Linked DNA regions of Bombyx mori. The main gene of each other region encodes a partner of the protein of the gene in region 5 in a complex. Links are inferred from orthologs where the notes say so. Each region holds a gene or a part of one and is shown on either strand. Other genes may lie near its edges.

Region 1 (6,297 bases), on a different chromosome or scaffold from region 5:
CTAATAAAGAATCACAAATGAGTACACGGTTCATTAGGTTTCTTTCAGTTAGCTTTTTTGTGTACCCAGTTTTTTTCAAATGCGCCATAACTATTTTGTGGTCAATTCCCAGTTCTTCAGTTACGTCGTAACTACTGATATGCCGATTATGCCCCACTTTTTCAAAAATGGCATCGGTTTTATCCGTAATAGGGCGACCAGAGCGACGTGCATTTTTGACATCAACATTTCCAGATTGAAAACGCTTAAACCAAATTTGTGCTACTCTCACAGACACTGCACTAGGTCCATAAACATCGCAATTTTTTTCACGGCTTGCGTTGGTTTTTTACCCTTTTTGTACTAAAATTTTAAAATGTAATGAATATCTTCATTAGATTCACTCATCTTGACAGTACGAAAAATAATAAAAATCACACATCTTCCTAACTTTAATTGGGAATTATCTTCTTTCGAATTTAAACTTTTAATGATACCAAAACCAGCCAGATACAAATAGTATAGCCAATGAGATTTTATTACAAGTTCATATATTTTTAAGCTATTGCATAGCTTTTATCGGGGACCTTGAGCGCGGCGACCGAATCATGAAACTCCGTAACGAAAAAAAACCTAACATTCCTCACTCCGCCTACCATGTAGCTCGCGTTCAACACATTTACACGTTGCGCTTGTGTAGTGTTTGTGAATAAGCGCGTGGCGTGACGTCACACTGCATGCGCATCATGAAAAGTCTGCCCATCTCTCTCTCGCGCGGTTTAGCTTATGAGTGTGAAGGGGACAGTTAAGGTTTTGCCTTTATTAAAGTTTAATATAGCGTGGTCTTGTTTTATTATTGTTTTAATATTAAATTATCATTGTCTAATTATAATGTCATAAGTTGATAAAAAATGCTATGCAATAGCTTTACCGCCGCAGTTCCCGAGTGCCACACGTTTTTTTTTTGTCAGGAGGAAATCGCCGGACTTCCGCCCTTCACTGGGGATGGAGGGCGAGGCATGTCGAACCGACTAAAACCTCCTGTCGCTCAACAACCAGCATCCAAACCTCGCATGAGACAGAACTCATGAAAAGGCAAAGGGGGGAAAGTGAAGTGTTTAGTGCGGAGCACATCTCTCCCATCACCCTCCCCCTCGGGACGCCGGACTGGCGGTCGTCGGCGCCACGACCACCAGCCCTCTCGGTCGGCAGGCTGTCCGAAACCCGCCTAGATGGCGCCGGTAAGAATGGTCTATCCTACAGAATACCCCGCTGCGTCAGAACCAGCGTTGGTTGAGGATAGCCGGCCTTCCATCACCCGGATGCTCATGCGTAAAACGTGTGCAGAGCAGCTTGCACGTCGTCTTCTTAGGCCCCCTTCACCGGTCCCCAGGTCGACATGTCAGGGAGACCCGAAACACTTAGAGGGCCAGGGCTTGGGCGAGATCCGCCTCCCTGGACCCCGCTTGACGGCGGCGGGCCTGTGCATCTCTCACGCGCCTCGCCGCCTCCTTTTGCGAGATGGTGCACTCGCAGAAGTCGAGCATCGCCTTCCACGACTCGTCGTCACCGAGAATCGATGCCAGAACACTCGGCAACGACAAGTCGTTTCCTATTTTTGCGACGAGGACACGCCGCCACCCCCTCCCATGCGGGGCAGGCGACGAGTGTATGCTCTGCCGTGTCCAAGCCGCAACCACAATGGTGGCACTCTGCCGTCGGCTCGGCTCCGATCCGGTGCAGGATCTCACCGAAGCAACCATGCCCAGTGAGTACCTGCGTGAGCCGGAAAGTGAGGCGTCCTCTGTCACGATTCACCCAATTCACAAGAACCGGGCGAATCGCCTCGACGGTCCTACGACCAGCCGAAGGATCGGCCAGCCGCCTGGACCATGACTCCAGCACTGACCGCCGAGATTGGGCCCTCCACACTCTGATCACACTGAGGCTGGGACGCGCCACGCCCCGGGCACGAAGGTTAGCCCACCACTGATAGTCAGCGGCGGGCGCCTCCGCCTCCAGGACCTAAGGCGGCGTCCCAGCCAGTACACACGCCGCCTCGAAAGAGATGGTGCGATAACCACGGATGATCCTGACTGCGATGGTGCGTTGCGGCCGTTGCAGCAACTTCGCTACCCCCACGGCCAGTGACTGGCCCCACACGGGCGCCTCGTATAAGGCGCGTCACCTGGTCATGCCCCCCGATGTTGTAAAGAAGCCGGCTTAACGTGCCAGCCACCCCCAACAAACGAGGGACCAGATTCTGAAAGTGAACACGGAAGGTCCAACGACTGTCCAGAATGAGGCCGAGGTACTTCAACTGCACCCCGACCCGATACGGATGCCTCCAACCACGATATGGGCATCGATAGGTGGCACTCTCCGCGGCCTGTGGAACCACATGGCCTCGGATTTACTGAGTGTCACGTCGAGGCCCGATTTCCTGATTTTACCGACGACATGCGCCACCCGAGCGGTGGCAAGACGAGCAAACTCAGCAAAACTCCTGTGTCCCATTATTTTATTCTATCATCAATAGTTTTCGTAGGGCACGCGACGTAAAGAATATTTTAGGTAATTTTTTTTACACCTTGGGTTAAATTATTGGAGTTTTAGTAAGGATACCCAATTTTTTTTTAAAAAAGGTTATAGTCTACGTCACTCGGGAATAGTGAAGCTTCCAAACAGTGAAAGAATTTTTCCAATCGGCTTAGTAGTTTCGGAGCCTATTTAATACAAACTAACAAAACTTTCCTCTTTATAATATTAGTACAGATATTAATTATTACAAATAATAAAAACGCTGACTTAGGTGGCGGTTTTTATTTGAACCAGTTCTAAATTATAAACTAAAATTCTATGAAAAATTACCCATATTTATCTATAATACGAAATGATATTAATTTGTTTTTCGTAGTTTCCTTCCTTCTTGCGTCGATAATCCTCAGTGCTGAGGGTCGCGGCCTCCTCTAATAACTTTCTCCTGCATCATCTTGCGCCATTCCTGCCTGTCCTCGGCTGTATGGATAGCAACGTGGACTGAAGTTTTGAGAGTGGAGCGTATTTGGTCCGACCAGCGCATTGGATTTCTGCCTCTGTGCCCTCTCCCGCATACCTTGCCTGTTACCAGCAACTTTTCCAGATTCTCACCTCTCTTTCTGGCGATATGTCCAAAGATCTCTAAACTCCTCCGCGCGCATGTAGTGCGGAGGCGCATTGGAATCTTGAGCTCGGTAAGAATGGATTCGTTGGTTCTGTGTTCTGTCCAACGAATCCCGAGCATTTTCCTCCAGCACCACATCTCAAACGCGTCGATGCGTTGGCGGTCGGCTTTCTTGAGGGTCCAAGTCTCTGCGCCGTAGAAAAAAATGCCACCCAAGCACAGTCCATTTGGAACATAGCCCTCTTTGCCATACTGATTCGCCTTCTGAGGTCCTTTTCGGAGGTTCCATTACTAGCTATGACGGAGCCCAGATAAATGAAATCCTCTACGTCTTCCAGGTTTAGCTTATTCGTAGTTTAATAAGTTATTATTGTTAGTAGTATTATTTACTAGTCGAAATATAAATTTTTAATTATCTTATGATGAGAATCTTATATTAATGAGAAAGATATTCAACAAAAATAGTTTCGTTCTAATAAATTAGCATAGTAATAGTACAGTGAACTAGCAATTTATTTTGGTAATTCTGAATTTAAACAAACATATTGATGAGAAGAATTCATTTTTACTTTGCAAATTTGTAAATACACGCTCTGTAGCAATGTACGGACATATAATAATATGAAGAAACAATAATAGCATCTACAAATATATATGTACTACGTGGTACTACATTTAATAAAATTAATACAACATTTATTAATTAAATTAATGAAATTGTGGTTTTAAAGTTTTAGGGGTGTATAAAAAATGGGGGGCGCTGAAAAATAATTGATATTCAAAGGGGGCGGTAAAAGAAATAAGTTTGATAATCACTGCTCTAAGTATTTCATTTTTAAATACTCATAAAATGGGTCATTTCAAAAAATAATATGACATGAAAAAAATCATATAAAAGACATATTATTCACGTGCTCACGTGAAAATAAAAACTATGATTGCATTATAGCTGTTCGCCTGTGTTCTTCTTTTTACTTTACACAAATAAAATTTCAAATTAATCAAAAATCAAATTGCAAATTTAATTCTCGTAAACTGTTGAGTGGCGAAAAAGCCAAGTGGCACGTCATATTTAACTGTCAAACATAACAAAAAAAGTTTGGATTGACGCCAAAAAAGCCGAAGCCGCCATTATTGTGAAATCGTATTGTAAAAATAAATTTCACGTGCTCACAGTGAGTACGATACAGTAAACAAGCTAATTAAACTAAAGTAAATCATGGCTGACAACGACGATCTTCTCGACTACGAAGATGAAGAACAAGCAGATCAACAGACTGCTGACGGGTCTACCGAAGTGGCGCCAAAGAAGGAGGTTAAAGGATCCTACGTATCCATCCACAGTTCTGGTTTTAGAGACTTCTTACTTAAGCCAGAGATACTCCGCGCTATTGTTGATTGCGGTTTTGAGCATCCTTCCGAAGTTCAACACGAATGCATTCCGCAAGCCGTCCTCGGTATGGACATACTTTGCCAAGCCAAGTCCGGTATGGGTAAGACAGCCGTGTTTGTTTTGGCAACATTGCAGCAGCTGGAACCCTCCGAGAGCCACGTTTACGTGCTTGTAATGTGCCACACCAGAGAGTTGGCTTTCCAAATAAGTAAGGAGTACGAGCGTTTCTCGAAATATATGTCAGGAGTCAGAGTATCAGTATTCTTTGGTGGTATGCCAATTCAGAAAGACGAGGAAGTCCTTAAGACAGCATGTCCTCACATTGTAGTGGGAACTCCCGGTAGAATTTTGGCATTAGTAAACAGTAAGAAACTTAATTTGAAACATTTAAAACACTTCATCCTTGATGAGTGTGATAAGATGCTGGAATCTCTAGACATGAGGCGAGATGTGCAGGAGATATTCCGGAACACTCCTCACGGGAAACAGGTGATGATGTTCTCAGCCACATTGAGTAAAGAAATCAGACCTGTGTGTAAGAAATTTATGCAAGACCCAATGGAAGTTTATGTAGATGATGAAGCCAAACTCAAGCTACATGGACTGCAGCAACATTATGTGAAACTAAAAGAAAATGAGAAGAATAAAAAACTCTTCGAACTACTTGATGTATTGGAGTTCAATCAGGTGGTTATTTTTGTGAAATCAGTACAGCGCTGCATAGCTCTGGCACAACTGCTCACCGACCAAAACTTCCCTGCCATTGGTATCCACAGAAATATGACCCAGGATGAGCGTCTCTCCCGCTATCAACAGTTCAAGGACTTCCAAAAAAGGATCCTGGTTGCAACAAATTTGTTTGGCCGGGGAATGGACATTGAAAGGGTAAATATTGTCTTCAACTATGACATGCCTGAAGATTCAGATACATATCTACATCGTGTCGCCCGCGCAGGAAGGTTTGGTACCAAAGGTCTGGCCATTACTATGATATCTGATGAAAATGATGCCAAGATCTTAAACCAAGTACAAGATCGTTTCGATGTGAACATTACAGAGCTGCCTGAAGAAATTGAGCTCTCTACCTACATCGAAGGACGATAGATTAAGTTTCATTCCCATACCTATTTACTGCTGTGGCTCATTTTGTTGGTAATTAGACTGGCCTGCTTTAACATTGATTTGTAATACATTGAGCCACATTTACTGTTTAACTAGGTTTATCTAATTAAAGTGACATTTCATATTGTGATATCTGAGTGTTTTATTTCTTTACCAACAATTTGGGAGCTTTCATCGTTATCAGTAAGACAGGCTGTGATATGTTTAACTTTAGAATGTAGACAGGAAATTGATATATTTATTTTGACCATGTTCATATTAATGTAACAAAATATCCATTTTGAACATATCATTTTGTCTTTATGACTTCATATTTTTATATTCTTAGACATGCAAAATTTACTGATATTGGATGTTAATACTTCACACAAATACTACTGGATGCATTTGGATAAAATTTCATGCCTAAAAACTTCAGAATAAAACAAGCCATAATTTAATTTAGAGTACCTACGTACAGTGTGAGAGGTGGGGTGCAAGTAGTTTCAAGAAATTACTGTTTTTAGAGCCTTGCTATAGGATAATTATACAGGAACGCGACCAGTTTTAACTGAAAAGTACAGAAGGCCCATGTCCAGTAACTGGTATCCACTACAAAATCAAAATCTATAATTGTCTGCCTACACTATATTGATTTAAT
Region 2 (6,986 bases), on a different chromosome or scaffold from region 5:
TTCCACGCGCGGGGTCTAAACATCAATACGGGGCAGGTAGTTATCGTCAACGGTGCACCTTGTAGTTTACCGTTCACAGCCAAATTTATGTTGTTGAAAGCGAGAAGTTGGTTCCTCCATGTTGGACAGTGACCGTCATCAAAATCTACTTGGATCCCTTGAACATCCTCATTGAGAGCTACTACGAAATGAGCCGTATTTGAAGCTGACACATCACCAAGATCTAAATGTCTGTTTCTAAAATTTTATTAATTTTTTTTTTAATTCGTTTTTATTAATTTAAACGAAGCAATACAAGTTCGACAACATGCACTTAAGGGATTTTTATCAGAAAAGGGATCAATGTAGATGGGTAAAACGGTAAATTTAATATTCTCTTAACTTTTTTGAATTTTAACAATAAGGTTTTGCATTGGTATTTAAAATTTTGCTACAGTCATTGTTATGCAACAATAGACACTTCTACCCTGTTTAAAGGTGAAGCCACAATAACCCGTCTAGTTTATTGGCAAAACGTAAGGGAAAAATTGGCAATCTATTATGACTAAGAAAACATAACTTGATAAAATTTTATATCTGTTGATAAATTTGGCTTCTATGAGTTTTATAGCATTAAGGTATTATTGATTATTTAGTAAATTATTTATTATTGAAAAATTTGGGTAAATTTATTATTTAAAATACTACTTTTAACTTACTGCAATCTAATAGGCAAAGGCGCTATTTTCCAGCTTTTGTCTCTTCGTTCGGGAGAATTTTTGAAATCAATAAAAGGATCATTTTTTATTTCCACAGCTCGTCGTTTTCTATTCTCATACAACAATTCTATTTTTTTGTCAAAATTACGATGTAGGGCTGCAATAAATTCGAGGACTTCACTAGAAAAAATCGTCTTCTGTAATTCTTCGAGTTTTGGAAGCGGTACTTGAAGTAAAATAACATCGTGCACCATAATGTAGTTATTCTTTTCTTATTTAATAGGTAATCTGCACAGCAAGAAACGCGACACAGCTGCACTTGATTGAAAGTTGTATTGAAATATTCAAATCGGAATTTCGTTCGTGTTCGAAGAAAATAATATCTGTATGATTTTCGTGTTATTGTTTCTTATCACTATATAGTTGATTGATAAAAGAATGATAAGATATAATGTTTGCCTATGTTGGGTGTTTTCAGTTGCCAGCTTAAAAATAAATCAAATTTACTAGGGAAAAATCAAAGTTTTAATGGTAAACATAAAATGATATTTTGTAAAGTTTGAATACAACTATGACTATAAATAGACCTGAAAACCAACCATAATCATCATTGGAACAAACAACTGATTCGAAGTAGAAATCGCTGCTCGCGTAGTAGAAATCGCGAAAGGCTGTTCGGGTATGTAGGATCGGACGATCCGCAGACGATGGTGGTGGCACGGCGGCCCAAGAATGGCATTTGAGACCCTACCCACTAAACAACTCCCCCGCACTTGCTCAGGCGTCCGTAGCCCCCGAGGTCAAAACCCGGGCGGGGTAAGGAAGTACCGTATTAAAAACCCCAAGGACACCCGGAGGCTTACGTACTTGCGGCCTCGTAACTTGCGACAACAGCAACCGTCTCCATTCGGTGAAGATTACGGGTTGGCCGGCAACCCGCCGAGTACAAAGAGCAGCACGGCTGATCACGGCCCGATACTCTAACGAGCAATCTCGAAGCCACGCTGGCAAACCGGTACCTCCCTTTGGAGGGCGTTACTATGTAGTTGAAGTCGGGAACATAACAACTAGCGACAGGAAGATGCAAAAGTAGCACCGGCTCACTACTAACACAAGTAACACAGAGTACCACTGCACACGGTACGCCGGCAAACCATCGGTGCCATCGGGAGGCTCACTCTCTAAGTGGAGCACTCTTCATCAAATGAAGAGCATTGAGAGCACGGCCCTCCTACTCGACTTCGTGCTGGTTTTGGTCCGCATCGGTGCGATCATATCTCTGGGAATGATGACCAAAAGCTGCCATTATCCGCCTCTCACGGAGGCGCACGGTTGGAGACCAGCAACTCCCTTGGGTTTCATTACATCCTACGTATATTACTGTTGATTGGTCTTTAAAGTAGTTTATGGCGTACCTTGTATTGAGTGATATCAAAGCTAATAGAGATCAGAGTGAGAAAGCTATGAGATATACCTTGAGACATGAGGTAGAAATCTAAATTATGTTGTATAATGGTCATCTTACTCTTCAAACTGGAACGCATGACAGCTTGGCAGTGGATGAAATAACTACCTAATGTGAGCCCTCATAGGCACTATCTCAGTATTTAGGTCGCCAAGTAGTTCTACGTTCTGGTTTGTTAAATGAACGAATTGTTATATTCTACAATTAGCGGTAGGTGACCTCTCGTTGTAGATGTGTACTAGCTCTGGTAATCACTTTATTGAAGTTGGGCCTTGAGCTCGTTCAGACGTCTATGCAATAAATAAATGTAATTTTTCCTTTCATATAATGAATGTATCTAAGTAAATTTTTGTAATTTTACTGAGACTACAGTATATTTTAAAGCATCTTATTTAATTTAATTTCATCATAATTACAGTATAAAATAAATAAATTTCATCTCATTCTTCTCCAAATCATTATTCTCAAAGAGTAAAATTTATTTTAAGTATATTTTATCTAGAGATTTTTATTAACTCAACACTGGCAACAATGACATTGCAAGCAGTCATTCTTTAAAAAAGGGAAATAAGTTATCTATGGTAAAAAGATCAAACATAAATAATGAATATGGCAGATTCAGATTCTCAAGAAAATCGACAAGTCGAAGAAATTAAATTGAAATCTAAGAAGCCTAGAAATCTTCGTACGCGTATCAAAGATGAAGACTCTGATGATGAGGAGCACATTTTGCAAAGACTTCAAGAAACAAAAGAAATTCAGAAACTTCGAGAAAGACCTAATGGGGTGAGCATCATAGCCCTGGCAACCGGCGAGAAAGTAACGTTGGAAGATGAAATGACTTGTAAAGATCCTTTTAAAGTTAAAACTGGCGGGATGATTAACATGCAAGCCCTTAAGAACGGGAAACTGAAGCAGGTGGATGATGCGTATGATACCGGAATAGGCACACAATTTTCAGCGGAAACGAACAAACGCGACGAAGATGAGGAGATGATGAAGTACATCGAAGAACAACTTGCAAAAAGAAAAGGTTAGTTCTACTTGAAAATATTTAACGAGCTTCCAAACATAAAAATTTACATTTTGCTTAAACAGTGGACCCCCGGTAATCCTGCCGCTGTCTAATCTGGCACCCCTTGTAATCCGAAATGTCTATTATTATTGAATATTTTTTGACAGTCTTCGCTAATGTACTTAGATAATGCATGATTGAACAGGTTACAACTGGTATGCGCCATCACTATTGTACTAGACGCTTAGGTATTGTTTTGGTTTTGATAGGTTAGTTTGAATTCGACTACTGATAACAAATAGGCATGCGCCCATTTCAGGCTCCATCTTGACCATGAAAGCTTAAGTTTTTTAAAGTACTTAAATAAAATAAAAGATGCTTATGGCCAGCAAGGGGTGGCTAGAAAGTTTCAAAAGTCGTCATGGCATTCGTAAAGTATTTTTTGTAAGTTTTAAAGTATTACTGACGTTAATTTTATAATAAAACGTAAGGTTTCTCTTGTATTTTTTAATTTACTAAATTCAATATACATAATGAAGTATGATTTGCATTTCAGAATATAACATACAGAATCTTATTACTGGATCTGTAATTTATTGGATTATAAAGTACTCTTTTGTAAAAAAATCTGGACTAAAGGGGGTCTTAGGCAGTACTTGTATAATTCGACAAATGTAATAGGTAGTTTGACACTGCCTTACAAAACGTTTGTCGGATTACAGGGGGTCCACTGTAATTTAATGGTTTTTTATTTCAAGACTGAAATTTAAAATCAATCAATAAAATAGTATTTGCATTTTCCATATCACATCCTTGAGGTTCTGTCACATCATAATCAATTACTAATTTTATAGATCCATTACAAGATCATTAAATAAACAGTATCTACATGTTTTCCTAGAACTCATGTAAATTTGTTTTTTTTTTGTAGGTAGTGGTTGTGACCAGTGTCTAGATGGGATTATATGTATATTTTGATATTACTAATATTACTAACACCTAAGCATATATTACATTAAGCTGCATAAGCACTTATTTGCTAAACTATTCTCATGGTATTATGATAACAACACTCCCAAAAGTACCAATAACAACTATACCAAGTTTCATTGCATCTTGAATGGTTTATATAGGAAGAAGAAAAAAAAAAGAAGAAAAAAACAGACTTAATAAACTTGTTAATATTGCTGCTTAAATGAAAATCTAGTATCAATTATGTAAAATACCACTCACTAAGATTCTATATTTGGTCCGAATCTGTAAAAAATATTGTATTGTAAATACTGTAGTAAGTATATTATACACTCAATTGAATTGCACATACCCTACAGAGACACCCACATCCCAACTTAAACAACGTTTAGACATACATGCCTCTTAGAAATATCATGTATGCTTAAATGAAAATTATTGTTTTTACAGGTTGTATGATATTAAGATAGTATAAGTTAGTTGTTTTGTATCTTTGGGTGCAATATTTGGAGCAGGTTTTATGCATAAGTGTGAAGAGGGCTAACCTCTGTGATACTGTTTTTATTGACTGCAGATATTAATAATTTCTTTTGAAGTCGTCGTGGCCTAAAGGATAAGACGTCCGGTGCATTCGTGTGTAGCGATGCACCGGTGTTCGAATCCCGCAGGCGGGTACCAATTTTTCTAATGAAATACGTACTCAAGAAATGTTCACGATTGACTTCCACGGTGAAGGAATAACATCGTGTAATAAAAATCAAACCCGCAAAATTATAATTTGCGTAATCACTGGTGGTAGGACCTCTTGGGAGTCCGCACGGGTAGGTACCACCACCCCGCCTATTTCCGCCGTGAAGCAGTAATGCGTTTCGGTTCGAAGGGTGGGGTAGCCGTTGTAACTATACTGAGACCTTAGAACTTATATCTCATGGTGGGTGGCGCATTTACGTTGTAGATGTCTATGGGCTCCAGTAACCACTTAACACCAGGTGGGCTGTGAGCTCGTCCACCCATAAAAGCAATAAAAAAAAAAAAAAAAAAGCTTATTGATACTTTATATTTATATCACATCAAAATAATTAGTTGGAAGCATACCCATGAAAAAAAATGTGTGTTACATGCACATAACTTGGGTTACTCAGTAAATAAATGCACAAAGATATGTTGATTGGAAACTTGAAATGGTAAATAGATTGTATAGTTTGTTATTGGTGGTAGGACCTCTTGTGAGTCCGCGCAGGTAGGTACCACCACTCTGCCTATTTCTGCCGTGAAGCAGTAATGCGTTTCGGTTTGAAGGGTGAGGCAGCTGTTGTAACTATACTTGAGACCTTAGAACTTATATCTCAAGTTGGGTGGCGCATTTATGTTGTGGATGTCTATGGGCTCCAGTAACCACTTAACACCAGGTGGGCTGTGAGCATGTCCACCCATCGAAGCAATAAAAAATAAAAATTTAGGTCCCTACATAGCTGATAGTATTATTTATAATCGTTTAGATACTAATATAAAATTAACTTGTGCTTTGTAAATTCCAGAGGGATGTGACAAAGACAATAAAGACCACAACCATACAGAAACACTAAAGTATTTGTCTCCCGAGGAAGCAGCCTTACTTTCCTTGCCAGACCATTTGAGAGTCTCTTCAAATCAGAGGTCAGAAGAAATGCTTTCTAATCAGATGCTCAGTGGTATACCAGAAGTAGATTTAGGCATTGACGCGAAAATAAAAAACATTGAGGCAACTGAAGAGGCCAAGATGAAATTAATATGGGAAAGACAAAACAAAAAAGATGGCCCATCTCAATTTGTTCCAACAAATATGGCCGTTAACTTCGTTCAGCATAACAGATTTAACATGGAGAATGATAAAAAACGAAAAATTGAAAAAGTTGTAGTGCCCAAAACAGAAATTAGCGTGATTGATGAGAACGTTGATAAAATAGTTAAGAAAGCTAAAGGGGAAAGAGCAACTGATGATTATCATTATGAGAAGTTTAAAAAACAGTTTAGAAGGTGTTAAAATGGTTGAGGGGAATTAACTATAAGGAAACGAAAATTGTATTAAAAATATGTGATTAATGTAAAAACTTGCAGCGGAGTGAGGGTTTGACTTCATATTACCTGATTCTCTTTTGTGATGTACAGAGCATTAGCCTCTATTCATCAGACATGAGATTCATACCATTCTTGTAACTATAAAATCAAATCTGTGGTCAAATTGTGTATGTTATCTTTATATGGAAACAATTATGATTGTTTTTCAGTATAATTGCTAAAAAAACCCTTTCATATTCTATGTTTCAACTTCTGATATAGTTAATTCTTGACAAATTCATGAGTCAGCAAAAATTCAAATCCAATTAATCTCAAATTTCCATGACAAAACCAAATCAATAATTAACTTCATATTCATTAAATTTGTTCTTTCACTCACAGGAGGGTAGGGAGTATTTTTACATTTTTAATACAAAACTTTCAACTTGGATCTAAGATTTGTCTAGATTCTTTTAGTGGAGTCCGACCTCAGTTGTAATGCTAAATTTGTGTACTATTTTATTATTATTGGTGAATGGTTACCACTGCTCATGGATGCTTGTAATGCCAGCCTTATTTGAACAGGGATGAATCACATACAAGCCAAAAAAGATCTCTGGAAACGCATTGTGGATGAATGCAGTATTGTATTTTAAAAATCTATATATATTTTAAAAAAAATCTTACATAAAGACTGGCCCCCAACCCACCCAGATTTTCCAAACAGCACCTAGTGTAAAGTATTGCTGTGAGTTTTACCAAATTAAACTCCTGTTGCTAGCAATTTTGTCTGAAATTA
Region 3 (6,166 bases), on a different chromosome or scaffold from region 5:
GAAGGTAGATAAATGAATGAAAATGCTCGGAATTAAATAAAAATAACAATTTTGTTTTTCCTTTGATGTGTCCCCCGTCGGACGGATTCCTTTTGTTTGTTTTAAGTTTATTTTATACAAAAGTTTAGGTCTTTTATTTATCGATTGAGGCACTACGAAGTCCATTTCCCATTCAATAGATGATGGAGATTTTTGTCATGCTATTTTTTCAAATTTTACATGGTTCTCCTGTAAAGTAGCAAAAATGTCACTTAAGTCAAATAGCTTTTCGCTCGTCGATATATGCAGTCCCGGGGCTCTAGGGCACTGACTCGCGAACATGACGAATATATATATCGACGCTTGAAAGGCAAAAGTGACTAAACGACAATGCGTGAACTTTACGGTGGACTAATTTAAAGTTGAAATACCTGAACATAAATTCTATTTTAACGAATCTAGCTGTAGGATTGAAATGATTTAATAGACCTAGAAATATTTTTTTTTGCGCATCGAATATGGTTAATGCCCATCATTTGTGTACAAAGCAGTTATTGTCGCTTAGTCTCGTTTGCCTTTGAAGCGTCGATATATATTGTAAATATTACTATTATATTATATTACTATATATTAATATATAGTAATAGCTAACCTAGATCTCCTACTCTTGGAATAAGACCGTCTGCTTCTGCTCTTTGAACGACTCCTGGAACGACTCCTAGATCTGGATCTCCTTGAACGAGACCTCGACCTGGAGTATGAGCGGCGGCGGGAGCGGGAGCGGGTGTACGAGCGGCGGCGGGAGCGGGAGCGGGACCGAGAGCGGGAGCGAGAATGCAGCCGGTCGTCGTGTTCGTTGGATTCCTTCAGCTTCTTGAAGTATCTGAAACAGAGCAATGCGCTCATCATATAGCACTGGTTTAATGCGGACGCTCAACCGACACATCAGCTTACATAAACATGAGTGATTATTATTTATATGTCGCAGAAGCCACAATTATTAACACCATCGTCAGACATCGTAGGGGCGAATAGGGTGATCGAGCTAAGAGAAATATTGAGTGCACCAATCACGTTTGTTGTCTTAGGACGGAGGCACCGCTCTTCAAGAAGGCTGGTTGGTAAGTGTGATGGCGTCTACGCGCCTCCATCGGCTAGGCTCTGTCGTAGCATGAAGTTAAGGCTTCGTCAAACAGAACGCGTAATTAGAGCGCGTCAGAGCGCTAAACTGATGACGCGCTATGACGCCGAGATGTATTGTACTTCTATGGTAACGTACTGTCAAACAGAGCGCCAGCGTTATAAGTACGCAACGCTCTGTCGCGGCGTTAAGGCTAACGCACGCTAATTACGCGTTCAGTTTGACGAAGCCTTTAGCCGAGTTCCGACGATACCGCGATCGTGCTGCCATCTCTCGGGAATCATGCTGTGTTTGCAGCTACCAAACTAATGACCGTCTCCGACATATTATACTTCACTAGCTGACCCGGTAGACTTCGTAATTCCTCAATCGATAAATAAAATCGGTCCAGCCGTTTTCGAGTTTTAGCGAGACTAACGAACAGCAATTATTTTTTATATATATAGATTAGTGGAACCTGGTCACGTTCGGCGAGCTGTCACTAAGTTTTCAGAGCCCCCGCGCGCCACCTGTTGTACGACGTGATTCTATAGCAAACAACATCCCTGAAGTGTCAACGGTAACTGGACAGTGTTACAACACAATCTAACATTACGTCACGAACAAATTGACACACAAAATATTTGTTTTGACGAATATGTGCTGTAGTGGCTACAAAATAAGGCACAATATTGTGCGAGTATTCAGTGGAGGAACCCCCTCGACCAGCTCCTAAAGACATGACGTAGTCCAATGTGAAGTTCCATTAAAGCGTGGAACAGAGAGATACACATATCCATCTTTCCTCAGTTATTACAATTTTCCCACACTGCATCCACTCTGAATTTCGATACGAAAAGTGAGATGATCATTTGCAATCTGGACCTAGAGTCCATCAGTAAGTATCTACAGTCGGCATCAATGCGCCACTTCGATAAAGCGGCACGACACGAGAATCCTCTCCGGAAACTACATAGCTGATCCTGCGGACCAAATGGTTAACAGTTGACGTCGCCCAAAACACGTCATTTCGGATCCTCCCGATCCACTAACGATGCTTTTAGGTACCTCAAGCACCGGTCACCGTCCTCGTCGAACACGTCGCTTGCGGCTATGGATCTGTAGATGTCTATGGGCTCCAGTAACCACTTAACACCAGGTGGGCTGTGAGCTCGTCCACCCATCTAAGCAATAAAAAAAATTAAAAAAAAACTCGACGAGTAAATTAACCCATAGACAGCCCACTGAGTTTCTCGCCGGATCTTCTCAGTGAGTCGCGTTTCCGATCCGGTAGTAGATTCTGCACGGCTCCTGCTAGGGTTCGTGTTAGCAACGTCGTCAGGTTTGAGCCCCGCGAGCTCACCTACTAGTTAAGGTTACGCTGAAATAGCCTCTCAAGGCTATCTGCTTCTTCTTCTTCTTTGTGGCTTCCTTATTACTGAGGGTCGTGACCACCTTGGTCCAGTTTTTACACCAACTCCAATAACTTTCTCCAATGATTTGGCCTAGGGGGGCTAAATCCCTTCTAAAAAGTTTTGGGACGGAAAGGAATGGGAAGATACCGTTACTATTTTTCCCAAGAAAACCACCATGAGAAAAGTCAAAAGGAAGTTTAGCTCAGCTAGGTACGAATGAAAAAAATGGCATTAACCCCCGGGCGGCTCGATACAGACCTGTAGTACTGCGCGGTGGCGTCCGGTCCGTCGAAGTACGGCATCCGCGGCCGCGCCCCCCCGCGCCCCCGCACGCCGCGCCCGCGCCCCCGCGCCCCGCCCGCGCGCCGCGCCCACTCCGCAGGGTACGCCGCGCGGGGGTAGTACATTGAACCTACGCACATTTATCACACATTAATAACAAGCGAATCAATTCCAAAAAATATATTAAATTCGGTCTGTTTGTTAATAGGCACTGTGATTCCTAATAATGCTATGTTTACAAAAAATAATAATTAGCTTATTTTATGTATGTGATCAGAATTACTGATCACCTCACATCCCAAGGTCACAATACATCCGGACTCGCGGTTTTGTTGAGTTAGTCACCACAGGAGACCTACAAAAGCATGAAATAAAGACTGGAAAATACATTTGTTCAATAATTCATTAACTAAGTCCGCTTTCTTTGGGAAGTTTTTTTTTTAAATATCTTTCTTAAAATATTTTACCATGAGTATTATTATATAAATTATGTGGTGCAGTTCCCAGATTATTTTTAATCATAATAATAGTTGTTATAAAAAGAAGTTAGATAACACAATAGAAAAGTATCGAGGTATAGCAAGTAATTGTCACATAAGGTTGAAGGATACCTTAATCTGACTCACGACAGTCTTCACTGGACTCCTTGGAATTTTTCCATACTCCTGAACTTTGCCAGAGGCCAGGTTATCGTTACCTTCAGGGATATAAGATTCAAGTTCCAAACAGTAACATTCAGTTGGTCTACGGAGCAGTTTCAGTCCATTCCAGTATAACATTTTGTTTCAATAGTCAATGTATTATTGTTTTTCTTGTGAGTCCGCACGGGTAGGTACTACCACCCAGCCTAATTATGCCGTGAAGCAGTAATGCGTTTCGGTTTGAAGGGTGAGGCAGCCGTTGTACTATTAAAATGTGAGACCTTACAACTCATGTCTCGATGTGGGTGGCGGCATTTACGTTGTAGATGTCTATGGGCTCCGGTAACCACTTAACATAGTATGGGCCGTCGTCCACCCATCTAAGCAATAAAAAATTTAATTAAAAAGTAAATCAGTCTCTTGCACCAACAGAACACACATCTCTTAACTAATTGACTGAGTGCAGTTGTTTGTTTACAAAGATTAGTGTGAAATAATGTTGTGATACTCATACTTTGCGGTCCATAGGCATATCCTGGCGGCATGAACGCCGGGTACCCGAAGCTGTAAGGGTTCGCCATCCCGTACATCGCAGGAACTGAAATCATATTCAAAAATTATTATTTAGCAATTAAAACAAACCGGACTTCAAGCTTCTCTGACAAGTTTTTTTTTATTGCCCTTGTAGGCAGACGAGCATACAGCCCACATGATGGTGATTTTTTACCGTCGCCCATGGACGTCAGCAATGCCAGGGGCAGAGCCAAGCTGCTGTCTACCGCTTAATACTCTCCACAAGCCTCGTTTGGAGAAGGACATGTCATAGCGCTCGGGAAACACCGTGGAGGGGAGTTCATTCCATAGCCGGATGGTACGTGGCAAAAAAGACCTCTGGAAACGCACTGTCGATGAACGCAGCGGTTCCAGATAATATGGATGAACTTTGCTCCGATGGCGGGAGGTGCGATGATAGAAAGGAGATGAGGGGATCATCTCAAACAATTCCTCAGAGCACTCTTTCATTTCGGTTTAAATACAACGTCTTAAAATTTTATACAATTTTATTGAAGTAGATGACCGTAAGATTCGTTGTGTTACACATACATAAATATATTTGGTTTTTAGTTACTGTCCACTACACAAAATTAATAGCTCTAGTCCAGTTTTTCCCAACATGGGGCCCAAGTCCCACAAGGCGGCAATTTGATAATTAAGGGGGCCAATTCCACTAACTTAATATAGAAAATCTGTATTAAAATTATTTTGAATTTGAATACATTGTTATGGACACGCTCACACTGTACTATACTATATATTATTGACTAGGTATAGACTGCTATACTATATGGCACTATAGTATAGCGTAGTCTGAAAGCACCTTAAGTATGAACAATATTATTGCTTTAGATAAACGTCATCTTCATCTCGGCCGACACGGCCTATCTGGACATACAGTCCGTGCGCGAGCTCCGAGGATTCAGGGGCTGAGGGAGCGGGCGGGCGTGCACCGCGCCCGACCGTCGCTTCATACCCCGCACTCTCCCAGTACTAGTGTCGACCTTAACGTGAGAGTACGCTTACCGACTCGTAACTTTTAATTTTGCGATAGCAGTGTTATTCACGTGTGTTTCCTACTGTAAACACTACTTATACTTATAAGTATTTTTGTTTGCACGAATAGCTATTTAATTTGATGAAAAAGGAATGGCGAGCACTAGCATAATAAACATGTCCTAGCATTAGAGGAACATTACTGGAAAAAGGGTGGCTTAATGGAGGATGTTGTCGAATCATTTATTATTGAAGTACGTGAGGAGTGATAATAGTACATCAAATTCTTCAACTACTGATTAATCTGATTGCGAGAGTAATTAATAAGATTTTACGTTCATTTTGTTCAATAAGTGAGTCGTCTATTATCAAAGGCGGCAATCTGTACATTTGGACAAAATTTTTTTATTGATATGTCAATACAGATTTATTTGAATATCATCGTCTCCTTCAAAGAATACGGTTCAAAACCTGCATTAAATAAAGGTTAATAGTTAACCTGTTATTTATCTAAGATGTCGTTCCGAAGAGTTTTGTGACTGCCAATGGAATACAAAGTCAATAATTCGTTTTTCTGATTTACCAATCATTGTCCAAAAGTCAGATTGCCGCCTTTGATAATAGACGACTCAAGTATCAGTTCATTAAATTAAATGCATATGTGATCAATTGTTTTTATTTTTATTTGAAGTTCATATTACCCTCATAGAACTATTTTATAATTTACACTCGCACGGAGGCTTCAGATGTGTTAGTATCGATAGCGCAATATTGACTAATTACAACACTATAGTAGAATTACTCATAAAAAATCGGAACGGTGAAGCGAGTATTTCGCTCTCTTTTCCACTCACGAGCCTTATAGACGGGCATAGTGATGCGCATTATTGTTGTCGATAAGCGTTATCGATAGTATATTTAGTTTTGTCATTTTGTGGGTTAGTGATAAAAATGAAAGAAAAAATCACTAATCAAACACTTACACCACATAACGCCGCAGCAAGTTAACGAGAACGGCAGAAATTAATACTTTTTAACTTTTCAGCCTTTATAATGGCTCTCACGAGATTCAAAAGGGATACTATCATATTTTTACCTAGCGGTACGGACTTCCAATACGAATAGGTACTATAGGTAAGGAGCGGCTTGACTCTGCCCCTGGCATTGCTGAAGTCCAT
Region 4 (6,840 bases), on a different chromosome or scaffold from region 5:
ATTATAGCCTATGTCACTTGGGAATAGTGTAGCTTTCAAACGGTGAAAGATTTTTTCAAATCGGTTCAGTAGTTTCGGAGCCTATTCAAGACAAACAAACAAACAAATTTTTCCTCTTTATAATATTATAGTATAGGACAAGCTAGTCCATAACTTGAACGACTTACTTTCCTCGGCGCTCTGCAGCTTCAGCTTCTTAGGTACGGCGTTCGCATTCGGCACGATCGTCGACTTGACCAAGTTCCTGAAACGGCCTATGGACGGATCTATGTCTTCGGGATTGATAATGTCCACTTCTTCGTTGAAAGACACGTTTCTTTTCTGCTTCTTCGGCACACCGACCGGCATCGAAACGGTACGCTTCGTACCGGTTGTCGGCTGAAAAACGATAGTAATGTTACGCCGGTAAGAGTAACGCCATCTATCGTCCGGATAGCCGAAACGTATATCAAAGGAACTAGTAACGCCGAGAAAGATCGAGAAGTACAACGCCATCATTGTCAGATACCGGAAACACATCGAAGCTACTCGACTTGCCCAGAATGTTCTCGATAAATTTAAGAGGTCGTATCTATACTAATATATAAATCTACAGTGGTTTTTACGGATGTTCCGTTATAACTACTGAACCATGCATCCGATTAACTTGAAACTTGGTATCCACGTAGAAAATACATGTACTTAATGGATAGGCTAATATTTATATGAGTGTTGGACTCCCTACACCAGTTGCGGGGGCGTTAATGATGAGAATCTTTGTGGGGGTGAGAAATAATAATATTAATTTTAAATTCCCAGCGAAGTGGACGGGTACTGCTAGTTACTTATATAATAGGTTAGGTATATATAACAGAAATGTTTGTCTGAATTACTGAACTGTTTTAATCATACTAAGGGGGTATCATGGACTAAGAGGAACATAGTGGATGGTGACACCACTATATTTTCACTGCACAGCTATCATGCGTTCAAGTGGCAACAACTGTTACAGAACACAATTGGGACTTCATCTCAATCATTTTGGTAACCACAAAATACTTTGGGAACCATGTATGGAAAGACTCACTAGTCGATCTTCATATTTACAGCAATATATACATTAAAATGTTAAATACACTTTTTTACAAGAATATACTATTCACCTTGATAACATCAGTTCCATCTTCGGTTGATATACCAAGCATCGATATTCTTCTGTTGTGGGCTGTGTTGAATTCAGTTAAGTTCTGTAAGTCATTGTACAAAAATACATTAACAATACACAGCTACCTAAGTTCAATAAAATATTTTATGTTTATAATTTTAGACCACAGACCACATATTGGTTAGAGGAAGAGCATAGGTCTTCATGAACGCCAAATACTATATCTATAACATTTCCTTAGTAGCAGTATTCTAAGCTTATTGCCATACCGACAAGGGCTCCAAAGCATGAAATCGAGAAAGGAGTATTGAAGTCAAATCGAAATCTAACTCAATAATACACATAAATGTAGGATTGGTAAGAACGGAACGTATGAAAAGAGTGTGGAACGGAGCGTTAAGATGTGAGTGAGAGAAAACGGAAAGAAAGGGAGAAGAGAATGACAGATAGAATGACAGAGAATTTGAAGATGGCGAAGACGTTTGAAAAATGAGTAAGACATAATAAAATTAGTGTTAATTATTAATTACTATTATAATAGAAGATTTTGGAATAGTATAACTTTTATTTTATGCGCTGCGATCCCTTTTCTACATAAATTATACTAAGAACAAAATCTTACATCTAGTTCGGTTTGTGTTTCAGGCAGGCCGAGCAATGCTCCTTCAGTTTCTGTATTAGGGAGATCCTCCATTATACCACGCGATGTCCCAGTCGGGCGTTCTCTGTGAACCATTGATACATTAATTAAAAGACACTTCATAATTCAGAATCCATGAACAGAATAAATCATATCGTCTTCTCGCATTAAAACTGTATTATCTCAAAACTTACTAATTTTATAGGAGAGTGTTTTAAAGGTTTAACAGGTTATATTTTTAATATTAATCATCTTTGCAACATTATTTTTTATTTTGTACCAGTTACGTTATCTGTCTTTTAAAGTATGATAAAATTGTGTACATATTAATTTTGTTAATATTTAGTAATGACAATTTAAGTAAACCAACAAAAAAAGGAAACCAAAACTAAACTACGCTGTTTTAACAGTATTTATGAGAAAAATACTGGTGATACCAAATGATTTCGCATATTAACTCAATTTTGAATATTTTTGTAAATTGTACACTTTTAATGCATACAGACGATATATCCATTGCAGACATATTGGAACGGCTTATGGACTATAAGCTGTTCGGTTTCAAAATGGCTTATTCGTTTGCTCATCTAATTCTAATTTCCTCATATTTTGAGCCCACACAATACACCACTTTCTGCCTGTTCCTGTTACAAAAGTTTCATGCATTTCAGTTTTCAGGGGTGGGTCAAGTTATACAGCTCTATTAAGATTAACTGTAGAGTATTGATGAGGGTTCTCATACATATAATATACATATTATTATTCTCCTATGTATAGAAAGGTCAAATTAAATGTAGGTTTACAAAATATACACATGACTGAAATGTTACTCAACATGTCTGCTTAAGCTTATAAATAGTTAGTTAATTTTAATTTATGTTTCTAAAAAGTAATATTTTTTTTGTACTTGCCTTATAATATAATTCCTGGTTGAAGCTCCAAAATGAAAATTAGAATCGATCGGTAATTGTGTTGGTTTGTTTGATTCTAAGCGCATTTTTCCAATATAAGTGCCATGAGCTAAAAAGTTTGTTATGATTTATAGTTCTACAACAAATTATAAGGGAGTGTTGTGAAACACGTAGACAGGTGAACAAACTCAGGGCCATCTAGTTTTAAGTGATTAGCCTAGTACATAGACATAAAAATACTAATAGCACGTATCCTTTATGCATGGAGCAAATGTTTAAATTTTTACTACAAAAGAACACTCAATCTCATAAAACTAGAAGCCGTGACTGCATTCTTGTAAAAAAATATGACACCGACATGTATGGGATTGTAATAAGCCCTCCTACCACTCATGGTACTTAACTCATAGTAGTTTAAGAAGTAATGTCAAATGATTGATTACATCTTTTCTGATTCATTTTTTTTCTTTTTATTTATTAATCTTAGTGAATGAGAAATCAAAGGTTATAAAACTTGAAGCTTCTCACCAAAACATTTATATTGTCAGAGTAAATTTAATTCACTTTTAACTTAATATCCTACAATTTAACACCTAATTTCAGCCCAAGTGAGCAAACATGACATAAAATTATGGGCCTTCATTCAATTAGTTCAAGAAACATTTTTTTTTGCATAGATACCCATATTTGTGATACAAATTCTTATTCATAAAATTATTACGACCATACTCACTACTACCGAGGTCGACTAAAAATGATCTATTCAAATGTTTGTGGTAGACCAGAGCAGCGTGCACCCTAGAGCAGCTAGCATGATCAATGCAGAAGTCATTCATTTGAGGATTCCGTCCAAATAAATAACATTTTTTCTCGTCTATCATTAGTTTCTGAATTAATTTATCTCCTTTTAGAACGTCTAAGTGGAGTCCGGTTGGCGGCTTACCAGCCCTAAAAAGATAATCAATATTAATTATTGGTTTTTATCAATATTAATTTTTGTATTCCACTCAAAATATCATTTAGATAATATCCACTTTTCTAGTATCATATTTCAGTACCTTCCTAATCTTTGAGTAGCAGATGACTTTTAAAGTAAAATTAAAAACTGTATCTATATATTGATAGTACATGCAGTAGTGCTACATTAATTATAAGATAAAATGTTCTATTCATTTGTAACTGATACACTGCTAAACTGCCATATTATTGTTATCAATTATATAGGTTATTTTCTACAAAGACAAAACTAATGAATACATTTTTATTTGAATGCACATCAGGAATTCATTAAAATAAGTAACCCGGCGTCATTATTTTATGGTTATGTTGCTTTTATACATACCAATTGGGCACTTCATAGTGATTTGCCATTATAATTAAAATTTATAACATTATTAACCAGTTTTCAATTATTTACTAGATTAATGGTTGTGTGAAAAAATAAGGTAATGAATGCACCAGTAAAACACTTTTGGCTTGATTTGTGGACCTTTGACAGATGTCTGTAAGTAATAGTAGTTTTATTTTTCCAACTGAAAAGGCAAAGGTATCATACCATACATCCTAATCTTTTATATTTTTTTTTATATATGAAAATGATATCATGAAATGACATGAAGTTGATTAATATGAAACATGGCATGAAATGAAATGAAAACGAAATGGAATGAATGGGATGAGATGATATGGGATGAAACATAATCTCGATAAAATGGTGGTCATATAACGAGAAATATAATGAGGTGGCTATCATGAGCGCACGCTTACTAGAGTGCGCTATGGTAATGATTGCACACGGGTGCTACCTGAGCTAGAGACGCCTTTTTTTGAGGCAGCCATATTTCCTGTAAATCACTGTTTTTTTGGAAGTCAGCAAAATTAAATGTAGAATACTATTAGAATAGAATAGAATTAGAATATTTAAGAAATTATCACGTTATATCACTTTTACTTTTCTACGGAAATTCAAAAATGTTTTCTTCATCATCAGCCTGCGGCAGTCCACTGCTGGACATAGGCCTCCCCCAAAGCTCGCCACTGAACCCGATCTTCGGTTCTACGCATCCAGTTACTGCCAGAAATGTTTTCTATTAGTATTTAATCGAAATAATTCTGATTGACTCAGTTGTGCTAAGGGTCGTGGGTTCGCTTCCCACATCGCGCAAAAATATTGTGTAATGAACAGGTTTGTTCATTATCTAGCTATGTATAGATTTAAACATATTTAAGTATGTTTATCAGTTTCTGGTACCCATAACACAGGAAATTCTAAATTGGGACCAAACAACCGTGCGTGATCTGTTCCCAGTTATAATTTTTATTTAATCAACTTTGGTCCAAATGATATATTGTATGGGATATAGTCCCGTTGCCTATTCAATAGACGAATAGACATCTAAAGTCTATAGTAAGTGTATTATCTATGAAAACTTCGGCCTTAATGAAATTTTTATTTCAGGAAGAAATTATAAAGGACTTAGCTTTGGCCTTAATGACATTTTTATTTCAGGATATATTAATATATATCATATAAGACCTGACTTCGGCTTTTTTGAAAAATTATTTCAGAGAATATATAGAGCAGACAAGGCTGTATGGGCTTAGAACCCCTTGCCTTTCCTAACAACGAAAAAATGTACCAAAAAAAAAAATTCTATGAAAAAGAGTTCACCGAACAAAACAAATAAAAATTATGTTACTTGAAAATAAAATGAATAACATACTTTCATAACCAAATCAATTAATTAAAAATGGTCTCTAGTGAAGAAGAACCGGAAACAAAGCAGGACGACGCTTTAAAATGGGACGTAGATATGGAGATACAATTATTTTACGCTATGGCCAACCATAAACCAGTTGGTATAAATAAACACTTCCAAATGGCCTGTATATGGGAGAAATTATCGAATTCAGTTACCAAAGAGATATCAACCCAAGATATATGGAAACACTTAGGCAGTTTATATGATTTTACGATGTTAGACGAAGCCGAACCTATACCGTTTCCCAATCACGAAATTACGTTCTGTTTGCCCGAAAATGAATTTGGCGCCTTAATGAAACAGAAATCGAAGGAGGTTCTGGTTAGTGAAGAAACTGAAGGTAAATCGTTTTTTGTTCTTTCATTCATACTAAATTAAATGAGTCGACTATTATCAAAGCCGGCAATCTGACTTTTGGACAATAATTGGTAAATCAGAAAAACGAATTATTGACTTTGTATTCCATTGGCAGTCACAAAACTCTTCGGAACGACATCTTAGATAAATAACAGGTTAACTATTAACCTTTATTTAATGCAGGTTTTGAACCGTATTCTTTGAAGGAGACGATTATATTCAAATCAATCTGAATTGAAATATCAATAAAAAAAATTGTCCAAATGCACAGATTGCCACCTTTGATAATAGACGACTCAAATATGCTGTACAAAAATGTCAAAAATGAGAGACTTAATTAAGGCAACTGTAAACCTTTCATTTTATTTCATTTCACAAATTAAAGCAAACTCTTTAAATACTATTTGATGAATGAATCGCCTTCTCAATTCAGATATAATGAGAAAGATTTAAATTGGATCAAGGTAATTGTTGTAAAAGGGGGCTAAATTATTTTTATAACTAATTTAAATCCTTAACTATTAAATGATAATGTAATTCTCCAAAGTAATGTTGTATGTGCCATAAATTGAATAGAATCAAATAACAAACAAGATTTTTACAATGATTGACTGTAATAGAAATTATTTAATTTTAACTTATGAGCTTGCTATAATATAAACTATTTATGTTAATAATGCTCTAAATGTATCCCCTATATATAGCTTTTGCTCGCTGCTTGCTTACTAAATACTAATGATAGTAGAGAATTAGTATATTAGTATATGTCTGTCAAAATAATGTAAATCTATGAAATTATTTACAATAAATATGTAAAGTAGCTTCAAATCAAAATTCTACTAAAACTACAAAATGTTGATAGAAATTTCACATTGATTATATTTTGCTTTTGTGCTGTGAATAACTATAGGTACTAAATAAAGAGAAATCTAACTTTACTCTTCAATTTCGAAAACAACTTCAACAGATAAAGATGGACGAAGCCCTTCTCCTAAATCAACTCCGAGAAGCAACTCTAAAGGGACT
Region 5 (6,310 bases):
GTCCCGTACCACGTTTTTTTTTATTTTTTTGAATCGTTGGGTGTGATTTCAAACTTGATGGAACGAAATGAAACGAAACGAAAAAATAAGTGTGCCGCGATGGGCTTGCCGAAGTGGGTCCGAGCGGCGCCGATAAATCATGAAGCGCTCCACACGGTCTCGCGTCCCCTACTAGTTCAGTGTGTTTTTGACGTCCGTGCACGCTGTCGTGGCTCTCTGAGCGCCCCGAGATACTTTTATTTCTATTTAGTTTGTTATTAGCAGATGTCGCTGCACATAAATTCAACAATTCCTGAATCGCGGTGACAAGATGTTACACAGTTGATAGACATTCTCGTATTTCTCTTACTAAATTATACTTACCTGGCCTAGGGATACTGTGATCATGCAGGTGATTCCCCCAGGGTGAGGCTGCTCCATTGCACTGCAGAGTGGTTGACCCTTGCGATTATGTTTATTTTTTATAAGTTTCACTTCTACCGAGTGTGACTTGTGCACACACACTTTTTTTTTTGTTGGTTAGCTGGGTGGACGATCTCACAGCCCTCCTGGTGTTAAGTGGTTACTGGAGCCCATAGACATTTACAACGTAAATGCGCCACCTACCTTGAGATATAAGCTCTAAGTTCTCAGTATAGTTACAACGGCTGCCCCGCCCTTCAAACCGAAGCGTATTACTGCTTCACGGCAGAAGTAGGCAGAGCGGTGGTACCTACCCGCGCGAACTCAAAAGAGGTCCTACCACCGGTAACTCGTGTAACTCACTCTCACTGTTCGTGCTCATTACTGTCGAGTCTTTATCATCAGATGTGGAAGAAGTGGATCGACAACAAGAGCTTGGGAGGGCAGGAACGTTTAAGCACCATAATGCGTTGCTTACTTCTGCGGCGCACGAAGATGCAATTACAGCAGAAGGGACAGCTGGCGTGTCTCCCGCAGCGCCACACCCACGAGCAGCAAGTCACTCTCTCCAAGAACGAGATGAATGTTTACCAAAAGGCAAGATCAGTCTGAATGATGACTTTATTCATAGCTAGCGACCCGCCCTCGCTTCGCTTCGGAAACATTAAATTTTATTATTGATAGGCCAGTCCCATGCCATGTTGCGCGCGGTACGACAATAACTGCAGGTGACGCCGCGGGGCGAAGCTAGTCTAAAAAAAGTAGCCTAAGTTACTCCTTATATCATCAGCTACCTATTAGTGAAAGTCTCATAAAAATCGGTCCAGCCGATCCAGCCGTTCCAGAGATTAACCGGAACAAACAGACACACGGACAGACAAAAAATGTAAAAAATGTTACTTTGGTGTATGTACTGTATATATAATTATATGCATTTAGTAAAAAGCGGTTATTTCAAACAGACACTAATTTTATTTATATGTATAGATGATTGGTCCTGAGTCCCGACTCACTGAGTCCGAACTGAGGCTTGAAGCGGTTTAGCCTTTTATTCTTCCAATTTGTGAATTTGTGTATCATTTAAGTAACTCACAATTTACTACTGATCATGTAATAGTCCTAAATGCATAGTAGCTATAACCTTATAAGTGTTCAAAATGAAAATTAATTAATTTGCAAGACAAAGCACCCGAAAAAAAAAATTTATTAAATTTGTCCAGGTGCTGGTATTCTCGAAGACACTGTTCGCTCAGTTCCTCCACCAGCGCGCTGAGAAGAACTCTGAGCAGTTTGGTGCCCCTCTCCCCGACAAGGACTCGGAGTACGCGAAGATGCACAAGAGAATGATCGCCTTACAGGGTATGTTCATGTTTACAAAACAATGGTGATAATGTGGAATGTCTTCTTTATTCTCACCTTAAAAAATAGTTTTTAATAAATGAATTTTTTACGTGACAACGTCTTATAATTCGATGGAGCCGGCTGCACGCACGAAAAAACACGACTCATGCGGCGTTACCTCGCTCTGATGCGTTCCATTTAAGGCTTGAAGTGCAAGCCAGAGCGCGCAACGAGCGACAAAGAGGCACAATCGGCCTCCGCGTTCGGCAGCGTTCGACATCTGTCTCTCTCCTACTTGAGTGAGCGATGCATCCGCGTGGACAGCTGCTATACAATAATACATTTGCATGTTTTCGTCAAGTATGAAGTTCAGTGAAAAGTGAATGTGGTGTCAATTGTTTATAGCAACAATAATTGCGATAATTGAAAAATGAAACCATTCCATCAGTATTTTCTTATGACATTGTCACGTTCAACTATCGTCAGTAAACCGACTTTACAGACAACCGATTTTTTTAATAATTATTATTATATTACATTGTGTATTAATTGTATGTATATTTACGGATATGTCTATGTATGTATGTGTACATATATTAGTACACCGCGCGTAGTTCGTTTCCAAATGATTCTTGTCCACCTGATGGTTGTCTGGAAGAGATCGCTCTTAGTGATAAGACCGCCAATTGTACTTCTTTGTATTTAATGTATCGCACTGTTTATTTGTTTTTTTGGTGTACAATAAAGAATACTCTCTCTCTCTCTCTCTTTCTCAAAAATGGTCTTTATAATACTGATTGAAATATGGATTCTTTTTGTGTCTATCTCAACAAACAAACTGCATAAATCCAACGCTCCTTTGAGACGTTACATTGGAATAATATTCCTTCGATAGCTCGGCTATAAACACATATCTATATCAAAGTTAAAATTTTCCAACACATCCCAATCAACTTATCGTCACAGACTATTCTTAAAGAGAAGTATATTAAAACTCAATTTAAAAAAATGCTTAACAACAAATACGTACATATACCCTAGAACCCATTGAAACACCGCCCACTGATTTTCTCGCCGGATCTTCTCCACTGAGAATATCCGGCGAGAAACTATCTAGATTCTAACTAGATTCTGCGAAGCACGGCTCTTGCTAGGGTTCGTGTTAGCAACGTCGTCAGGTTTGAGCCCCGTGAGCTCACCTACTAGTTAAGGTTACGCTGAAATACCCTCTCAAGGCTATCAGCTTAGGTAGGAAAAAAAAACCCACTGAGTTTATCGCTACAGCTTCTCAGTGGGTCGCGATTCCGGTCTGGTGGTAGATTCTGTGAAGCACTGCTCTTGCTAGGGCCAGTGTTAGCAATGCAATGTTGAGCCCATGAGCTCACCTACCCCTCCACATGAAATTGTAATAGCCCCTTTGGCTACCAACGATGAGCTAGGGAAAAATGAACTCTATTTGAAGGTGCTAAACCGGTCAAGTCCCACGAGATCCTGGTCCTGTTGCTCCGTCTGCGGCAAGTGTGCTGCCACTGCGGACTCATAGCCGCCATGCTGGACGACGCCGCGCCCGACCTCGATGCGGACCCGGCCGGCAACGACTTGCTCGACGAACTCAACAAAATGTCGCTCGAGGACAGCCGGAAGGAGGTATCTTTTTTTTTATTTATTGCTTAGATGTGTGGACGAGCTCACAGCCCACCTGGTGTTAAGTGTAACTGGAGCCCATAGATATCTACAACGTAAATGAGCCACCCACCTGAGATGACGAGATAAGTTCTAAAGAACTCAAGAATAGTTATAACGGCTGCCCCACCCTTCAAACCGAAACGCATTACTGCTTCACGGCAGAAATAGGCAGGGCGGTGGTACCTACCCGCGCGGACTCACGAGAGGTCCTACCACCAGTAGTTACTGCTCACTCACACATTACTCGAGTCATTAGCTATTAGAATGATTTGGACAGGCCATAATAATAATTAATCCAGCTAATCATCAGCCCAGTATAAGCCGTGCCAATAAAGAAACGAATCGAAAATGGCGGCAGCGATCATGCGCTCTCACTCTAAACTATTGCTGTCTTTAGTCGCTGATAATACTTGATTTTCATTACATACCTCTCAACTAAATATAAACATCTCGCAGAGTTCGAAAGACGATGAAGATGAATCCGAAGGTGTCCAAGAGGAAGGCACCACGGCAGCCGAAGCCATAAGGTCTGTCCTGAGTCCGAACAATCCCGTGTTCGAACTAACCAGGCCTTCATCAAAGATCAACGCTGTCATGGAGTGTCTCAAAGAGAATGTATTTTCTAAGCCAGGTCAGTTGCCCCTGGGTTGTGTAGAGTTCTTTGCAAATAACTTTATAGCAAAAAGTTTACCAATTCGCAATAAAAAAAATCAATAACAATTAGCACCATAATCCCTATATCCTGTGAAACACTTATCTTAAAACAATTTTAAATTTTCTAACGTCAACTTCAACAGGTGAAAAGGCAGTGATCGTGTCACAATGGACAAGTGTTCTTCACTTGGTCGAGAAGCAGCTGTCAGCCATGGCGGTCCGCAGCGTGACGCTGAGCGGGAGCGTGCCGGTGACGGCCCGGCCCGCGCTCGTGCACGCCATCAACGACCACAACAGTGCCGTCAAGGTACGCAGACCAGCTCATACAGTAGGGGGGCAGCCCCCGCCATGGGGTCCGCAGCGTGACGCTGAGCGGGAGCGTGCCGGTGACGGCCCGGCCCGCGCTCGTGCACGCCATCAACGACCACAACAGTGCCGTCAAGGTACGCAGACCAGCTCATACAGTAGGGGGGCAGCCCCCGCCATGGGGTCCGCAGCGTGACGCTGAGCGGGAGCGTGCCGGTGACGGCCCGGCCCGCGCTCGTGCACGCCATCAACGACCACAACAGTGCCGTCAAGGTACGCAGACCAGCTCATACAGTAGGGGGGCAGCCCCCGCCATGGGGTCCGCAGCGTGACGCTGAGCGGGAGCGTGCCGGTGACGGCCCGGCCCGCGCTCGTGCACGCCATCAACGACCACAACAGTGCCGTCAAGGTACGCAGACCAGCTCATACAGTAGGGGGGCAGCCCCCGCCATGGGGTCCGCAGCGTGACGCTGAGCGGGAGCGTGCCGGTGACGGCCCGGCCCGCGCTCGTGCACGCCATCAACGACCACAACAGTGCCGTCAAGGTACGCAGACCAGCTCATACAGTAGGGGGGCAGCCCCCGCCATGGGGTCCGCAGCGTGACGCTGAGCGGGAGCGTGCCGGTGACGGCCCGGCCCGCGCTCGTGCACGCCATCAACGACCACAACAGTGCCGTCAAGGTACGCAGACCAGCTCATACAGTAGGGGGGCAGCCCCCGCCATGGGGTCCGCAGCGTGACGCTGAGCGGGAGCGTGCCGGTGACGGCCCGGCCCGCGCTCGTGCACGCCATCAACGACCACAACAGTGCCGTCAAGGTACGCAGACCAGCTCATACAGTAGGGGGGCAGCCCCCGCCATGGGGTCCGCAGCGTGACGCTGAGCGGGAGCGTTTACCTTTTTTCTTATATTTTGAAACTAATGGTACCGTAAAATAGGGAGAATCGGGACACTTTTTAAGTTCCACATTGATTTTTAACGTTTTTTTTAGTTATAGTAATAAAATGGAGATTAGAGTGGTTCCGAAGGCTAAATTTTTATATACGATGTGTTTTTATTCCTAGTTCATTACAAAATATACACAAAAACTGAAAAAACTGGCTTGACCCGATTCACCTTGATTTTGGGGTGAATCAGGCTATGTATGGGGACAATAGAGTTTTTCGATAGGGCTGGCACTATTTAGTTGTTAGGTAGGTACCTAACTTTAGCTAATTATTTTTTTAATATCTTTAATGACTTAAAAAAACTTTGATGACTAAATTAAACTATTTAATATTTTTAAACACTAATTAAAAGTCATTTTCAGTTCAACAAAGTTTAATCTCTAACAACTCAACAAAAGTATTGTGACATCCCAAATTTGTCCCTATTCTAAGTCTCTATTCCTCCCAATCTACTGTACTATCATTTTACTCCTCTGTCGATATAGACCAAAAATATCCCTCTTTCTTTCTTTCTTCGATGATGACACGGTAACGTTGTTCGCTCAGGTGATGCTGCTGTCGCTGTGCGCGGGGGGCGTGGGTTTGAACCTGTGCGGCGCCAACCACCTGTTCCTGCTGGACCCGCACTGGAACCCGCAGCTCGAGCAGCAGGCGCAGGACCGCGTCTACCGCGTCGGCCAAGATAAGACCGTGCACATTTACAGGTAACTAACTAGCTGCCCCATATATTAGTCACACTTTTTATTTGGTATAGAATAGTAATAAATAAATAATAATAAAGGATTGTGTGGTTTTATGAAACCACGGTAAAAGAGAAACTTTTTTTCACATTACTAGCTGATCCCGCAGACTTCGTAGTGCCTCAATCGATAAATAAAAGACCTAAGCTTTTGTATAAAATAAACTTAAAACAAACAAAAGGAATCCGTCCGACGGGGACACATCAAAGGAAAAACAAAATAGTTATTTTTATTT

The links.
Region 1: transcription termination factor 2 (region 5) and ATP-dependent RNA helicase WM6 share a complex: the UniProt entries of both Homo sapiens proteins name them as parts of the spliceosome. The link is inferred for Bombyx mori from reciprocal best matches to the Homo sapiens genes TTF2 and DDX39B.
Region 2: transcription termination factor 2 (region 5) and uncharacterized protein LOC778507 share a complex: the UniProt entries of both Homo sapiens proteins name them as parts of the spliceosome. The link is inferred for Bombyx mori from reciprocal best matches to the Homo sapiens genes TTF2 and C9orf78.
Region 3: transcription termination factor 2 (region 5) and A-kinase anchor protein 17A share a complex: the UniProt entries of both Homo sapiens proteins name them as parts of the spliceosome. The link is inferred for Bombyx mori from reciprocal best matches to the Homo sapiens genes TTF2 and AKAP17A.
Region 4: transcription termination factor 2 (region 5) and nuclear inhibitor of protein phosphatase 1 share a complex: the UniProt entries of both Homo sapiens proteins name them as parts of the spliceosome. The link is inferred for Bombyx mori from reciprocal best matches to the Homo sapiens genes TTF2 and PPP1R8.

The regions. Positions count from the first base shown.
Region 1 is NC_085122.1:1,015,326-1,021,622, forward strand, and holds ATP-dependent RNA helicase WM6, read left to right. Parts: upstream 1-3,969; 5' UTR 3,970-4,361; coding exon 4,362-5,639; 3' UTR 5,640-5,789; downstream 5,790-6,297. UniProt on the Homo sapiens protein: Involved in nuclear export of spliced and unspliced mRNA. Component of the TREX complex which is thought to couple mRNA transcription, processing and nuclear export, and specifically associates with spliced mRNA and not with unspliced pre-mRNA.
Region 2 is NC_085120.1:2,478,580-2,485,565, reverse strand, and holds uncharacterized protein LOC778507, read left to right. Parts: upstream 1-3,000; coding exon 3,001-3,196; intron 3,197-5,688; coding exon 5,689-6,173; downstream 6,174-6,986. Other genes in the region: malate synthase, read right to left, coding at 1-237, 699-952. UniProt on the Homo sapiens protein: Plays a role in pre-mRNA splicing by promoting usage of the upstream 3'-splice site at alternative NAGNAG splice sites; these are sites featuring alternative acceptor motifs separated by only a few nucleotides. May also modulate exon inclusion events.
Region 3 is NC_085127.1:13,380,007-13,386,172, forward strand, and holds part of A-kinase anchor protein 17A, read right to left. Parts: intron 4,036-6,166; coding exon 3,952-4,035; intron 2,927-3,951; coding exon 2,773-2,926; intron 863-2,772; coding exon 632-862; intron 1-631. UniProt on the Homo sapiens protein: Splice factor regulating alternative splice site selection for certain mRNA precursors. Mediates regulation of pre-mRNA splicing in a PKA-dependent manner.
Region 4 is NC_085126.1:4,080,050-4,086,889, reverse strand, and holds the start of nuclear inhibitor of protein phosphatase 1, read right to left. Parts: upstream 4,202-6,840; 5' UTR 4,067-4,201; coding exon 4,038-4,066; intron 3,644-4,037; coding exon 3,429-3,643; intron 2,805-3,428; coding exon 2,696-2,804; intron 1,870-2,695; coding exon 1,767-1,869; intron 1,227-1,766; coding exon 1,143-1,226; intron 379-1,142; coding exon 168-378; intron 1-167. Other genes in the region: MRG/MORF4L-binding protein, read left to right, coding at 5,446-5,797, 6,782-6,840. UniProt on the Homo sapiens protein: Inhibitor subunit of the major nuclear protein phosphatase-1 (PP-1). It has RNA-binding activity but does not cleave RNA and may target PP-1 to RNA-associated substrates. May also be involved in pre-mRNA splicing.
Region 5 is NC_085131.1:1,918,153-1,924,462, reverse strand, and holds part of transcription termination factor 2, read left to right. Parts: intron 1-807; coding exon 808-999; intron 1,000-1,622; coding exon 1,623-1,761; intron 1,762-3,205; coding exon 3,206-3,390; intron 3,391-3,885; coding exon 3,886-4,060; intron 4,061-4,226; coding exon 4,227-4,390; intron 4,391-5,881; coding exon 5,882-6,039; intron 6,040-6,310. UniProt on the Homo sapiens protein: DsDNA-dependent ATPase which acts as a transcription termination factor by coupling ATP hydrolysis with removal of RNA polymerase II from the DNA template. May contribute to mitotic transcription repression. May also be involved in pre-mRNA splicing.